3 linked regions of the Oryctolagus cuniculus genome follow. The protein of the gene in region 1 purifies or fractionates together with the protein of each later gene. This does not show direct contact. Links are inferred from orthologs where the notes say so. Each region holds a gene or a part of one and is shown in the gene's direction. Other genes may lie near its edges.

What was found. Proteins that work in one complex are often made in the same cells at the same time.
Region 2: the proteins of SMARCA2 (region 1) and RBBP4 purify together in Homo sapiens (affinity purification with western blotting; 3 studies listed by BioGRID, with this or other methods). This does not show direct contact. The link is inferred for Oryctolagus cuniculus from reciprocal best matches to the Homo sapiens genes SMARCA2 and RBBP4.
Region 3: the proteins of SMARCA2 (region 1) and BCL7B purify together in Homo sapiens (affinity purification with mass spectrometry; 3 studies listed by BioGRID, with this or other methods). This does not show direct contact. The link is inferred for Oryctolagus cuniculus from reciprocal best matches to the Homo sapiens genes SMARCA2 and BCL7B.

What each region holds. Positions count from the first base shown.
Region 1 is NC_091432.1:164,360,317-164,363,644, forward strand, and holds the end of SMARCA2 (probable global transcription activator SNF2L2), read left to right. Parts: intron 1-710; coding exon 711-853; intron 854-887; exon of another isoform or gene 888-993; intron 994-1,963; coding exon 1,964-1,999; 3' UTR 2,000-2,828; downstream 2,829-3,328. UniProt on the Homo sapiens protein: ATPase involved in transcriptional activation and repression of select genes by chromatin remodeling (alteration of DNA-nucleosome topology).
Region 2 is NC_091438.1:139,889,236-139,893,412, reverse strand, and holds the start of RBBP4 (histone-binding protein RBBP4), read left to right. Parts: upstream 1-1,377; 5' UTR 1,378-1,479; coding exon 1,480-1,690; intron 1,691-2,185; coding exon 2,186-2,333; intron 2,334-4,177. Other genes in the region: ZBTB8OS (protein archease), read right to left, coding at 794-890. UniProt on the Homo sapiens protein: Core histone-binding subunit that may target chromatin assembly factors, chromatin remodeling factors and histone deacetylases to their histone substrates in a manner that is regulated by nucleosomal DNA.
Region 3 is NC_091450.1:50,474,243-50,478,235, forward strand, and holds the start of BCL7B (B-cell CLL/lymphoma 7 protein family member B), read left to right. Parts: upstream 1-1,193; 5' UTR 1,194-1,342; coding exon 1,343-1,434; intron 1,435-3,993. UniProt on the Homo sapiens protein: Positive regulator of apoptosis. Plays a role in the Wnt signaling pathway, negatively regulating the expression of Wnt signaling components CTNNB1 and HMGA1.

The sequences.
Region 1 (3,328 bases):
TACAAGGGGGTCTTTTCAGGTGGTACAAACATTGAGGAAGGTAGGCATGAGCTGATGGGTACACTCATCCCACATATGTGAAATATAACCAGCTACAAAGATCCTATTGGGATAAGTACATAAGTAATTCAGGTATAGGAGAGGTCTTCAGAAAGTGTGCAGAAAAATGCATGCATTTCACAGATTTTTATCCTTTAATGCCTTGTTCCATGAACTGGCTGAAGCACCTTTGTCACACATTCCCCACCGCCCTAGAAATAATAGGCTGAGGGAGAGGAGTGTTTACTCTCTTACTTCCTGTGGTAAAAGTATTATTCAACTATTGGTATTTTCCTTCTGCTTCCATCTGCTAGAGTGATCTGCACGCATCCTCTGCAGCCTTCCCCCCATTAAATGCATCCTGAACACTTCCCTGAAATAGGAAAGGCGCTTCCCATTCCCGCCGTCTGCCTGCAGGAGCCCGGAAAGAAGGACCCTGCCTGGGAGGCCACCTTCCCTCGCGTGGCCTGTGTACTGTGACAGCGTTCATCTGCCAAAGAGAGGCGTGCGTGTGTGGGGCCACCGACTGGACAGGACGGCAGGAGCTGGGAAGTTCCTAGGCACCCTGACCATGTGGCCAGTCATCGGTGGCTGCTCGCCTCGTCACTGGTTCGTGAAAAGCATTGCTGCGTGTCTCCTCACTGATGGCTCTTTCGTTTGTTCTTGCATAGCGAAATCGGTTAAGGTGAAAATCAAGCTCAATAAAAAAGATGAGAAAAGCCGAGACAAAGGAAAAGGGAAGAAAAGGCCAAATCGAGGAAAAGCCAAGCCTGTCGTGAGCGACTTTGACAGCGACGAGGAGCAGGATGAGAACGTGAGTGCAGTGCTGGCATCTTGCTCCCTCTCACCTGTGGGTGACAAAGTCGATGGGCGAGATGCCATCCCTGAAGGACGGGAACACAGCGGCAGGACTTCGACCACAGATCTGGGGGCTCTGTGCATTGCTTCAGTAGTCTGCAGAAAATAAAGGGGAGAAGAGAACTCGATTTTGTAGTTTTTCATCTTAGAAATTGAGTTTTCTCCATGGCCGATTCATATTTTGTATATCACGCCTGTCGTGCTGCCTTGTATATAGTAGATGGAAGAATGAGAAAAGGTGTTGGGATGTCGGAGTTTTGGACTTGAGTTGCTCAGTAAGGTGCCATATGAAAACCCAAATGACTTTTTAAGCACCTAAGGGTTTTTTTTTTTTTTAATATTTGAAAAACCTCAGGGAGCATTGATTGAGGCCTGGAAATAGGTGCCTTCCTGTATTGGTACATATTTATCCCAGCATCGTGTGCTGCCACTCTCAAAACATGAGAGTGATTTAGCCATTTTGCTGCAGGTCATCTAGCAAGTGACCAGCAGAGCTGAAATCAGACCAAGTCTGCACAGCACAGGACAGTGGCATTTGAACCTGCCCTACCTTCCTTCTACTTTCCCTGCCAATTTTTTTTTTTCTTTCTGGGAACTCATGTCCATGTTAGTATGATGGTAAGTTTCAGAGTCATCATCTTACACCAGCCTTAACCACTGGGCACAGTTGTTTTCAAATGCATTGAAAGCCCTGTGTTTTCCTCATACCACTTACGAGTGGAGCAGACAGGAAATACATGATGTTTTTCCTTCCCATGTATCTTCCAAGGCATAGGGCTAAAAACACAGAGTACTTAGCCACAAACCTGTAAACCCAGACTGAAGGGGAGCACCCACTAGCAAAAGTGGGGGTGCGTGTGGCATTGGGATTTTAATGACAAGCCCTCTTCTTGGCCTTACTGCTGTCAGTGCCTCTTGGGTGTGCTTCTGTCTTCCTGCAGAAAGATGTGGAGCCTCCGCTGTTTCTCAAAGGCCGTTTGTTCTTTCTCTGCCTGCCCATGGCTTATTAAGGTGTCTCCTCTCGTTCCTGGGATTTTATTTCATTTCCTCTTGTTTTTCCTTCTAGGAACAGTCGGAAGCAAGCGGGACTGATGATGAATGAACAGTCTGGACCTTTTTTCCTTGGTAAAACTGACTTCCTTCCTTCCCCTCTCTGCCCAGTGAACCTACTTGTCATAGTGGCACTGGGCCCTGTCATCATCCTCATCTATAAACTAGCTTTAGGATAGTGCCAGACAAACATATGATATCATGGTGTAAAAACACACACACACAACATTTGTAACATATTGTGACCAAATGGGCCTCAAAGATTCAAAGATTAAAAACAAACCAATCTTTTGATGGAAAATATGTGGGTGGATAGTATATTTCTATGGGTGGGTCTAATTTGGTAATAGTTTGATTGTGCCTGGTTTTATCACCCGTTCAGATGAGAAGATTTTTGTCTTTTGTAGCACTGATAACCAGGAGAAGCCATTAAAAGCCACTGGTTATTTTATTTTTCATCAGGCAATTTTCCAGGTTTTTATTTGTTCGGTATTTTTTTTTACACTGTGGTACATATAAGCAACTTTAATAGGTGATAAATGTACAGTAGTCACATTTCACCTGCATAGACATTTTTCCATTTTATGCTCTATGATCTGAAAACAATGCTTTTTGAATTGTATAAGATTTATGTCTACTGTAAACATTGCTTAAATTTTTTTTTTGCTCTTGATTTCAAAAAAAGTTTTGTTGAAAACGCTATTGAATATTGCAATCTATATAGTGTACTGGATGGCTTTTTTGGTCAACCTGATCTCCTATGTTACCGATGTGTATCGTCTCCTTCTCCCTAAAGTGTACTTAATCTTTGCTTTCTTTGCACAATGTCTTTGGTTGCAAGTCATAAGCCTGAGGCAAATAAAATTCCAGTAATTTCAAAACCGTGGCGTTGGTGCTTTCCTAGTAACGAGACACCATAGCTCTCCAGTGTTGCCTGTTACTCCTGAGTCCTAAGGGAGTGACCCCCTCATGCTTGAGGGGACTGTTTCCTGAAGGGGGCCAGGGAGGCTCCTTGGAAGGGACGAGAGAGAGAGAATGAGAATTCAGGTGTGTGTGCACCACGAGGGAGGCGCCATGGGCCAGGCCACACAAAGGCACTGCTCAGCCTTTCCTCAGGCATTAAATAGGCCTAGTTCTTTCCCAGGTGCCAGCGTAGTACTGTCTGTCGGTCGCATTGCTTCAGAGCCTTCTGAAGGCACTTCCCGTTCCCATTTTACAAACAGGAATACAGCAGTGGAGACGGTGTGGGCTGAGCACACCAAAGGTGGATTCGGGAGGTAAGCTCGCTCCAGAGCCCTTTCCCACCTCCCCAGCGGTAAGGCCTGGGACAGAACTTTCGGATATGCCTCAGGTCACGTGCCAGGCACTTGCTGGCACAGTA
Region 2 (4,177 bases), on another chromosome or scaffold:
GGACTGGCCCAGCCCTGGCCATTGTGGCCATCTGGGGAGCAAACCAATAGATGGAAGATCTCACTGTCTCTTGTAGACCTCCCAGCGCCAGGGGCTCCATTTGGGTCTCCCACGTGGGAGGCGGGGACCTGCTTTCCCAGGCGCATTAGCAGGGAGCAGGATCAGAAGTGGAGCAACAGGGACTCCGGCACCCGAAGCCTGATGTCCAAGGGGCAGGCGGCGGCTTAACCAGCTGCACCCCCAACACGGCCAGTTTTCCTAATACAGAACTTAACAGTCTGCACTATACCTCCACACTCATTATTTATTCATCAAATGTAGGAATCGAGATGCAAATACGGTTATGGAATTTACTTAAAGTCACCAAAGCAATAAATGGCAAACATCAGGTCTTACTACCAACACGACCAAGGCGAAACACCAAGTCCCCTACTTAGCTTTCCGAGTCCTCTACCCTGGCTACACTGCATCCCAGTGTCAGGAGACAACCTGGGAGCGACGACCCCCCAACGCTGGAAAACACGGTTACACTTGCACAATTCACCAAGATAAATGGGCTCGGGCACCTATGGAAAGAGTTCAAGAGACTGTAAACGCGGGAGCCCAGGTTTCCCGAATCAAACACATCTGGAGGCTTTTTTGCCCTCTCAGCATCCCCCGTGACAAGCAGAAAAGCCACACCACAGGGCGCCACGGGGTCCACACCTGAAGCACCCCTGGGGCAGAATACCAGGCGAGGCCGGAAGGCATGCCCGTGTACCGCTACCTGAAGAGCAGCGAACCACCTACTCACACTCGTACTTCCGATTGACTGGAGGATACTTGGCCTTGATCGCCTTCTGCTCCTCAGTCAAATTGTAATCTCTAACATCTTCCTCGCCCTGCGCCATGACGGCCAGATTCGGACACTCTCCTTCCGCCCTACACCTGCAGACTTCGACTCCACGTTACGACTTCCGCCCTAGACCCCGCCCCTTGGCACGCACCCTTAAAGGGCCAGGACTCCAATCTCACAGTTCGACCTACGTTAGGCCCGAAAACTTCCATCTGGGGCCGTGCCGCTCGGATCTCGTATTTGAAAGGCTAAACTCCCATTTTCGGCGCTTCTCAGTAGTTCTTTCTAAAGACAAAGGAAACTAGTTGACGGAAAACTTTTATTAAGACACCTCTGGGTCTGGAGGGGTGAAGGCTTTTCTCTCCGCCTCGCCCCCAGAGTTGATAACCAGATGTGAAAGCATCCGAAATTTCTCGTCTCAGGGCTCTTCTCAATAGATTCATATGCTTAACAGCCTTAAAGAAAATGGCCGCCCCCGGGAGTGCGCGAGCTAAAACTCTCTCACGTGACTCGGGATGGGTACAGCCCCACCTACTCGGGTGCGCGCGCAACCGGTGGAAGTCGGTCCCCGGCGGTGGGGGGCAGGGGTGGAGAGCGCTCTTGGGCCCCGCGGGGAACGATTCCGCGCGTCTGGATAGGCTGCGATGGCCGTTTCCCCGCCCACCCCGCCGCTCGGCGCGCTCCGATTGGTTGCTGTTGGCGCGAAGGTGCGCGAGTCGGGCCTCACGCAGGGGCCGCAGGAAACAATAGAGGCCGCGCGCGCCGAACGAGCGCCCGCAGCCTCCCCGCCCCTCCCGCAGCGCTCGACCCCGGGATTCCCCCCGGCTCGTCCGCCCGCCATGGCCGACAAGGAAGGTGAGGTTGCTGGGGCCGCCTCAGGAGGGCGGGGGGTGCCGGGGCTGCGCCGTGGCCTCGGCTCGGCCAAAGAGTGAAGGCAGGCCCGACTTGGCTGAGCGCAGTCCCCGGCGACGGAGGCGCGAGGAGGGCGCTCCCCGCGGGGCGGCTAACGGCACGCCAGGTCCTCAGGAGCGATGCCCGCCGGCGCGCGGCGGAGCTGGCGGTGGGGGCCGGCCGGTTGTTTGTCCCTCCTCGCGCTCGGGCTCTGTGGCCGCCGTGCCGCGCCGCTGCCTACCCCTCCCCGGGCCTCCTGGCCGGTCCCGTAGACTCCGCGGCGCCCCGAACTGGAGCCTCGGGCCGGAGTGAGCTGGGGACTTCCGGCCCCGCGCGGGCGGAGAGGCGCGGCGGAGCCTCGGCCTGGGAGGTCGAGCCGAGTCGCCTCCATTTCAGTCAGGACGGGGGAGCGCGCCTGCCTCCACTCGCTAACTTAGTTTGCTTAAAAAAAATCTTTAGCAGCCTTTGACGACGCGGTGGAAGAGCGTGTGATCAACGAGGAGTACAAAATATGGAAAAAGAACACCCCATTTCTGTACGACTTGGTGATGACCCACGCCCTGGAGTGGCCCAGCCTAACTGCACAGTGGCTTCCAGATGTAACCAGGTGACAAGAATCTCTTGCGCGCTGTTTTGATGGCTCTTCGGTGTAGAGTCTCCCGTTCCTTTTTTTCTGTTCTCGCTCCGGTCCGCCGGAGAGTGCACGTGATCCGAGGCTCTGGGGGACGTGTTTTCACTCCCCCCTCTGCCTCCCTTCGGAGGCCCAAAAGTAAGGCAACATGTAACATTGTGTAATTCTCCTGATAAGAGAAAACAGACCGGCGTTGTCTTGCTCTGATACTCGAGGAGTCGTGTTATAGCTGCAGTTGACCCAGTATTTAAAATCGTGTGAGATTTGTCAGCTTTCGGCAGCGTTACGACCTTGTAGCAAGACATTTGGGATCTCATGTCACAGCTGATTACAAAGATGCCCGGCAGCTGCCTTCAGGGAGGCAAGTGGAAGCTGCTGAGAGGCAGTGGAGATAGTTGGGATGCGGGGGAAACACCTGGAAGGATAGTTTTCCTGTCAGGGAGAGGGCATGGCGAAAGCCTGTAGGTAGCTCTGATAGAGGAGATGAAATGTTGTCTAGTATTGCCGATGTGTCTGTTAGAATAATGGTTTTTCTGTTATAGAACATCTTTGCTTTTGATAATAACATTCTGACAGTGTTTTGTGTACTAAATAAAATCTTCAAAATAAATCTTTGCAAGTTAAAGTGTACTAAGCCTTTGACTATAGTGTAAAAAATGCTTCAAAAAATAAAATATAAAGTTAAAAGTATTTGCAGAATGTGGATTATTAGACTATGATTCGGCTCAGTGACAAGGAGGCCCCCTCCGCTGGTTCATTCCTTAAATGCCCCTAACAGCCAGGTCTGGGCTACGCTGAAGCCAGGAGCCAGGAACTCAATCCAGGTCTCCCACACAGGTGGCAGGAACCCACTCACCTGAGCCATCACCACTAGGAGCCATTGCCTCCTATGGTATGCACTTACAGAAAGCTGAGACTCGAAACCAGGCATTCTGATATAGATGCCAGTATCCCAACCTGTGCCTTAACTGTTGTGCCAAATGCCAGCCCCTTTCTGTCTTTCTGTGTAAGATGGATGTTCTCGGCATTGTTTGTCAATTCTGTGTGAAGGGGTATTTCTCAACCTAACTTCTGAGCTCTTGATTTTTTTCCAGCTGCCTTTTAGTGTCGTCTTTGGAGTATTTTACTGGCTTCCCTAACTTGATATGTTCCAAACTGAATAATTCCTTCCACTGAGGTCCCACTTCAGTTTATCTTATTTTTGTCATAGTTGGCTTTGGTTGGACATTCTTAGGTTTTAGCTTTTATCCACTTGACAGGCAGTTGATTTATAAGCCGTAATGAATTCTACTTGCGCAGCATCTTCCCCAGGTAGACCAGGGATTCTCAAATTCTAATATGCATCATGATCAGCTGAAAATGGAAAACATTGTTGTGCCCCACACCAGAGTTTCTGATTCAGTAAGTCTGGGGTGGATCTAAGAATTTTTTTTTTTAATTGGCACAGAAAGAGACAAAGAGATCTTATCTGCTGAGATACTCAAATGCCTTCAGTAGTTGGGGCTGGGCCAGGCTAAATCCAGGTCTCCCACATCAGTGGCGTGGACTCCAGTACTTGAGCTGTCACCTGCTGCCTCCCAGGGTACACATTAGCAAAAAGCTATATTGGAAGTGAGGAGGGCACTCACACCCAGACACTCTGCTCCTGTATGGCATGCCAGCTGCCTAACTGGCCTATTAAAAGCTTTACCAAATGCCTGCCCCTGTATTTCTAACCAAAGTTCCCAGGTAATGCTGATGGTATTGGTCCTGGCACCACAGTAGAAGAACCTCTGCTTTGGGGGAGTGTGGTGCAGAAGGTTAAACTGCCAATTGGTGTC
Region 3 (3,993 bases), on another chromosome or scaffold:
GCGTGTGCTTGTCAAGTCTTGGTACTGGTCAGATGGGCACAGTCCCAGGCTCTGTTGTGTCCAAAGTTCGCTGGGCCTTTCTCTCCCTAGAGAGAAATCTCCCTAGAGAACTGCTTCCTGCCGTCCCCAGGAGCTGCGGCCACAGGACCCTCCCTCCATCCCGTGGGCACGAATGCGTGACTGCTGGCAGGTGGGTGGGGGCAGTGTTTAGAGAGTCTGTAGGCAGTGAGGCCTTGAGGCATTAGCGACTGCCCTGTTTGCAGAGATCAGCTTCAAGGGCACTTTTTCTAGGTCACTTTGTTGTCTCTTTTAACCTAGTGTTCATCAAATGGCATCTTAAATACTTGTTTCCTGGTCTGCATGTTCTACTGAACTCCAAGCTCTTTGAAAGCAAAAACACATCGTGGGTGGTGTTCCGGGGCAGCGGGCTAAGCTGCCTGAGATGCCCACACCCCGGTCCGACTGCCTGGGGCACTCCTGGGATGCACAAGCTGGGAGGATGGCTCAGAATTTGGGCCTCTGCCACAACCGCGGGAGACCTGGATTGAGTTCCCGGCTCTGGGAGTCAACCTGGCCCAGCCCTGGGAGTTGCAGGCGTTAGGGGGAAAGAGAACCAGTGAATGGAGGATCTCTCTCTCCCTTTTCTGTGTCTTTCAAATCTTGAAAAAACAAAACCAAAACCTCCCAAGGCATCATCGCTGAAACCAGTGACCGCTGCATTAAATGGTGGCAGTGGAATCGTGCTAAGAACGAACACGGGGACCCTAGGGTACCCCGGGAGGCTGGAGTTTGAACCGGATTCTGGAAGAGCGAGCAGCCAGTTCCTCGGGTGAGCACCAAGAACAGCAGGCACACCCCAGACAGGTGTCAAACTCCCCGCCGTTGGAGCCCAGTGGGAGTCCTGGGGGGGGGGGGGCGGACACTCAGGTCCCACCGGGGCCAGGCTCCCAGCTTCTCTGGACGCAGTGCAAGGGCGCGGACCTTCAATGCCCCTGGGCAGAAGCGGACACCCCGCCCACTGTACCGGCAGCGCCTCGCACCTTGCCCTGCCCGCAGCACGTGCAGCCTGCTCGGCGCGCCCAGGCCCGGGGCACCCATGCCCGGGGGTCGGGAGGGCCGCCCGGGGCGGGGCGCGCAGGCGCGCTGAGGGCTCGCGTCCCAAGGGGCGGGCGGGTGCGCGCGCCTCCTCGCGCACGCGCGCACGGAGGGGGCGACGGCCGCGGTGACGCTGCGGCTTCGGCGGCGGTGGCGGTGGCGGTGGCGGCGGCGCGTGTGAGGCGCGCGCGATTCTCCGCGCGTCTTGGGAGCAGTGCCCCGGCCCCCCGCCGCTCCCGCCGCCGCCATGTCGGGCCGGTCGGTCAGGGCCGAGACCCGCAGCCGGGCCAAGGACGACATCAAGAAGGTGATGGCGGCCATCGAGAAAGTGCGGAAATGGTGAGGGCGGGAGCCGAGGGTGCCCGCGCGCGCGCGCGCGCGTGTGTTGCGGGCCCAGGCCCCGAGGAGCGCCAGTCCGGCAGGCTGGGTGGGAGCCGGCCGGCCGGCTCCGGAGGGGGAGGGGGAGGGAGAGGGCGGGCGGAGGGCGCGCCGGCGTCGGCGTGAGGTCAGAGGGCAGCGCCGACCGGGGCCAATCAGCGGGCCGCCCGGCTGGCTGCCCCGCCCACTGCCGCGGTCGCGCGCGGCCCGGGGATGGCTGCGGACTTCGGGCCGGCGCTGGGCCTGCGGGTCCTGGCTCAGAGTCCCGGGCTGGTGCCGCTGCTGCTGTCTCCCCGTGCTGTCCTCCCCCTGATTAGGAGCCAGCCATCCCCCGAGTGGCTTCGGTCGGCCCGGCTGAGCGCTCCACATAACACAGTCGAAATCTGAGAGTTCTCCCGGTAATTCCACCTGCCGCGGGAGCAGGCGTGGTGGTCATCGGAAAGGAAACCTGCCTCTTTCCCCTAACGCCCCCTGAAGTCGCAGGTGAAGCTCCGGAAGCTCCCGGAGCCTGTTCCTCTAGCTAGCCAGCAGTAGGTAGGAGCCCGGGGGCTCCCGTGTGGGCCTGGCTATGCGTTCCCCTCCCCGCAGGCCGGAAGGGCCTTCTCGCTCGCTCTCCGTTGGCTTCCGGTCACCGCGCCGAAAGCCAGAAGTGTCCGCTGGGACGGCTAGCGCTGACTGAGTTGTCCAGGTCCGCTTGCGGCTGGAATGCGGGCCCTGGGAGGGAAGGGGCCGTGCGTCTCGTTCCCTGCCTTCCTAGACGAGGGTCTTCGATACTGAATACGTGGTCAGCAGATGAGGAAACGGAGCGGACCGGTCGGGAACCGGTGCCCCCTGAGCCTTTTTTAGCTCGTTGTTTCCAGTCCATCGTCACCTCTCTGCATTTCCTGATGGCATTATTTGCTTCATAGCAGCTGTGACAGTAGTGACTTTTATGTGTTTATTTAGTATAAACTTCAGATTTGGCCTTGAAACTTTGCAAAGCGGTTCAGGTCCGCGAGACATCAGCTCCCTGCATTTGGTTCTTGCTCGGGCTGACAGCAAGTACTAAGCAGTCTTAGAGAAGTAACTTCTTTCTTTTTTTAAAATTAATTACATTATTTGATGGGCAGAGTTAGAGAGAGAGAGAGGTCTTCCATCCCTGGTTCACTCCCCAATTGGCCGCAACAGCCGGAGCTGCGCCGATCTGAAGCCAGGAGCTTCTTCCAGGTCTCCCACGCGGGTTCCGGGGTCCAAGCACTTGGGCCATCTTCCACTGCTTTCCCAGACCACAGCAGAGAGCTGGCTCAGAATTGGAGCAGCCGGGACTCGAACCGGCGCCCATACGGGATGCCAGTGCTGCAGGCTGGGGCTTTACCCTCTACGCCACAGCGCCAGCCCCGAGAGGCAACTTCTTGGAAAGCCAGCTCCCACCTGCACACACACTGGCTGGCAGCCCTTCAGAGCAGGTCGAGCGTGTTGCTCTGTGTTGAGTTTAGGACGGGCCTGATTTCCTTTCGCTGGGTCTAGCTCATGTTGTCAGGCCCTCGTGGTCTTGAGCAAGCCCTTGGCCTGGTCTTGAGCCGTTGCTTGTTTTGTGAGTGATGAGGATTTCTCCAGAGCTTTGAACTTGAAGGTTGAAATCTGAACATTTCTTCAGATTAGCTGTCTCCTTAGGCAGTCTTGGTAAGGCAGAACAGCAAGGGATCCCAAGGCCGGGTCCACGCCTGCCGCTCCCACCCAGCAGAGAGAGTGTGTGTGTGTGTGTGTGTCTGTGTCTGTCTGTCTGTGTGTGTCCCCCGTGGTCCTTTCTCCCTTGGAGGAATCTTTATATGGAAGCAGAACAGGGCAGCCAGTCCATGACCAGAGTGACTTAAGAGATTAACACTAAAATGACCAGAACCTTCTTTTTAAATTTTTGCTTTAATTAAAAAAATTTGCCCTAAGTTTATTTCTGCTTGTCTATATGTTTAGTGGTAATGGAATAATAGGGATTTTTGAAGATGTGCTACATAGTTTGTTATCTTTACTGAGATTCTAATTTGGTAAATAAGCTGATGAGACAAAAACATTATCAGAGGCACACATGTGACATCATTTAATAAGGAGCATGCAAGAAGGGGCCTGTGCCTACAGAGAGCTTAGAATTGCTGTTTTGAGTGCCTTATTTTATTTTTTTAAAACGATTCTTTCTGAGCTTTCTGTTCTTTCTTTCTTTTTTTTTTTTTTTTTTTAAGATTTATTTTATTTATTTGAAAGGCTGAGTTACAGAGAGGCAGAGAGAGAGAGAGAGAGAGAGGTCTTCCATCTGCTTATTCACTCCCCAGGTGGCCCAGATGCATGCAATGGCTGGTGCTGTGATGATCCGGAGCCAGGAGCTTCCTTCAGGTCTCCCACACAGGTGCAGGGGCCCAAGCACTTGGGCTGTCTTCTACTGCTTTCCCAGGCCATAGCAGAGAGCTGGATCGGAAGTGGAGCAGCCAGGACTTGAACTGGTGCCCATATGGGATGCCGGCACTGCAGGCAGCAGCTTTACCCATTATG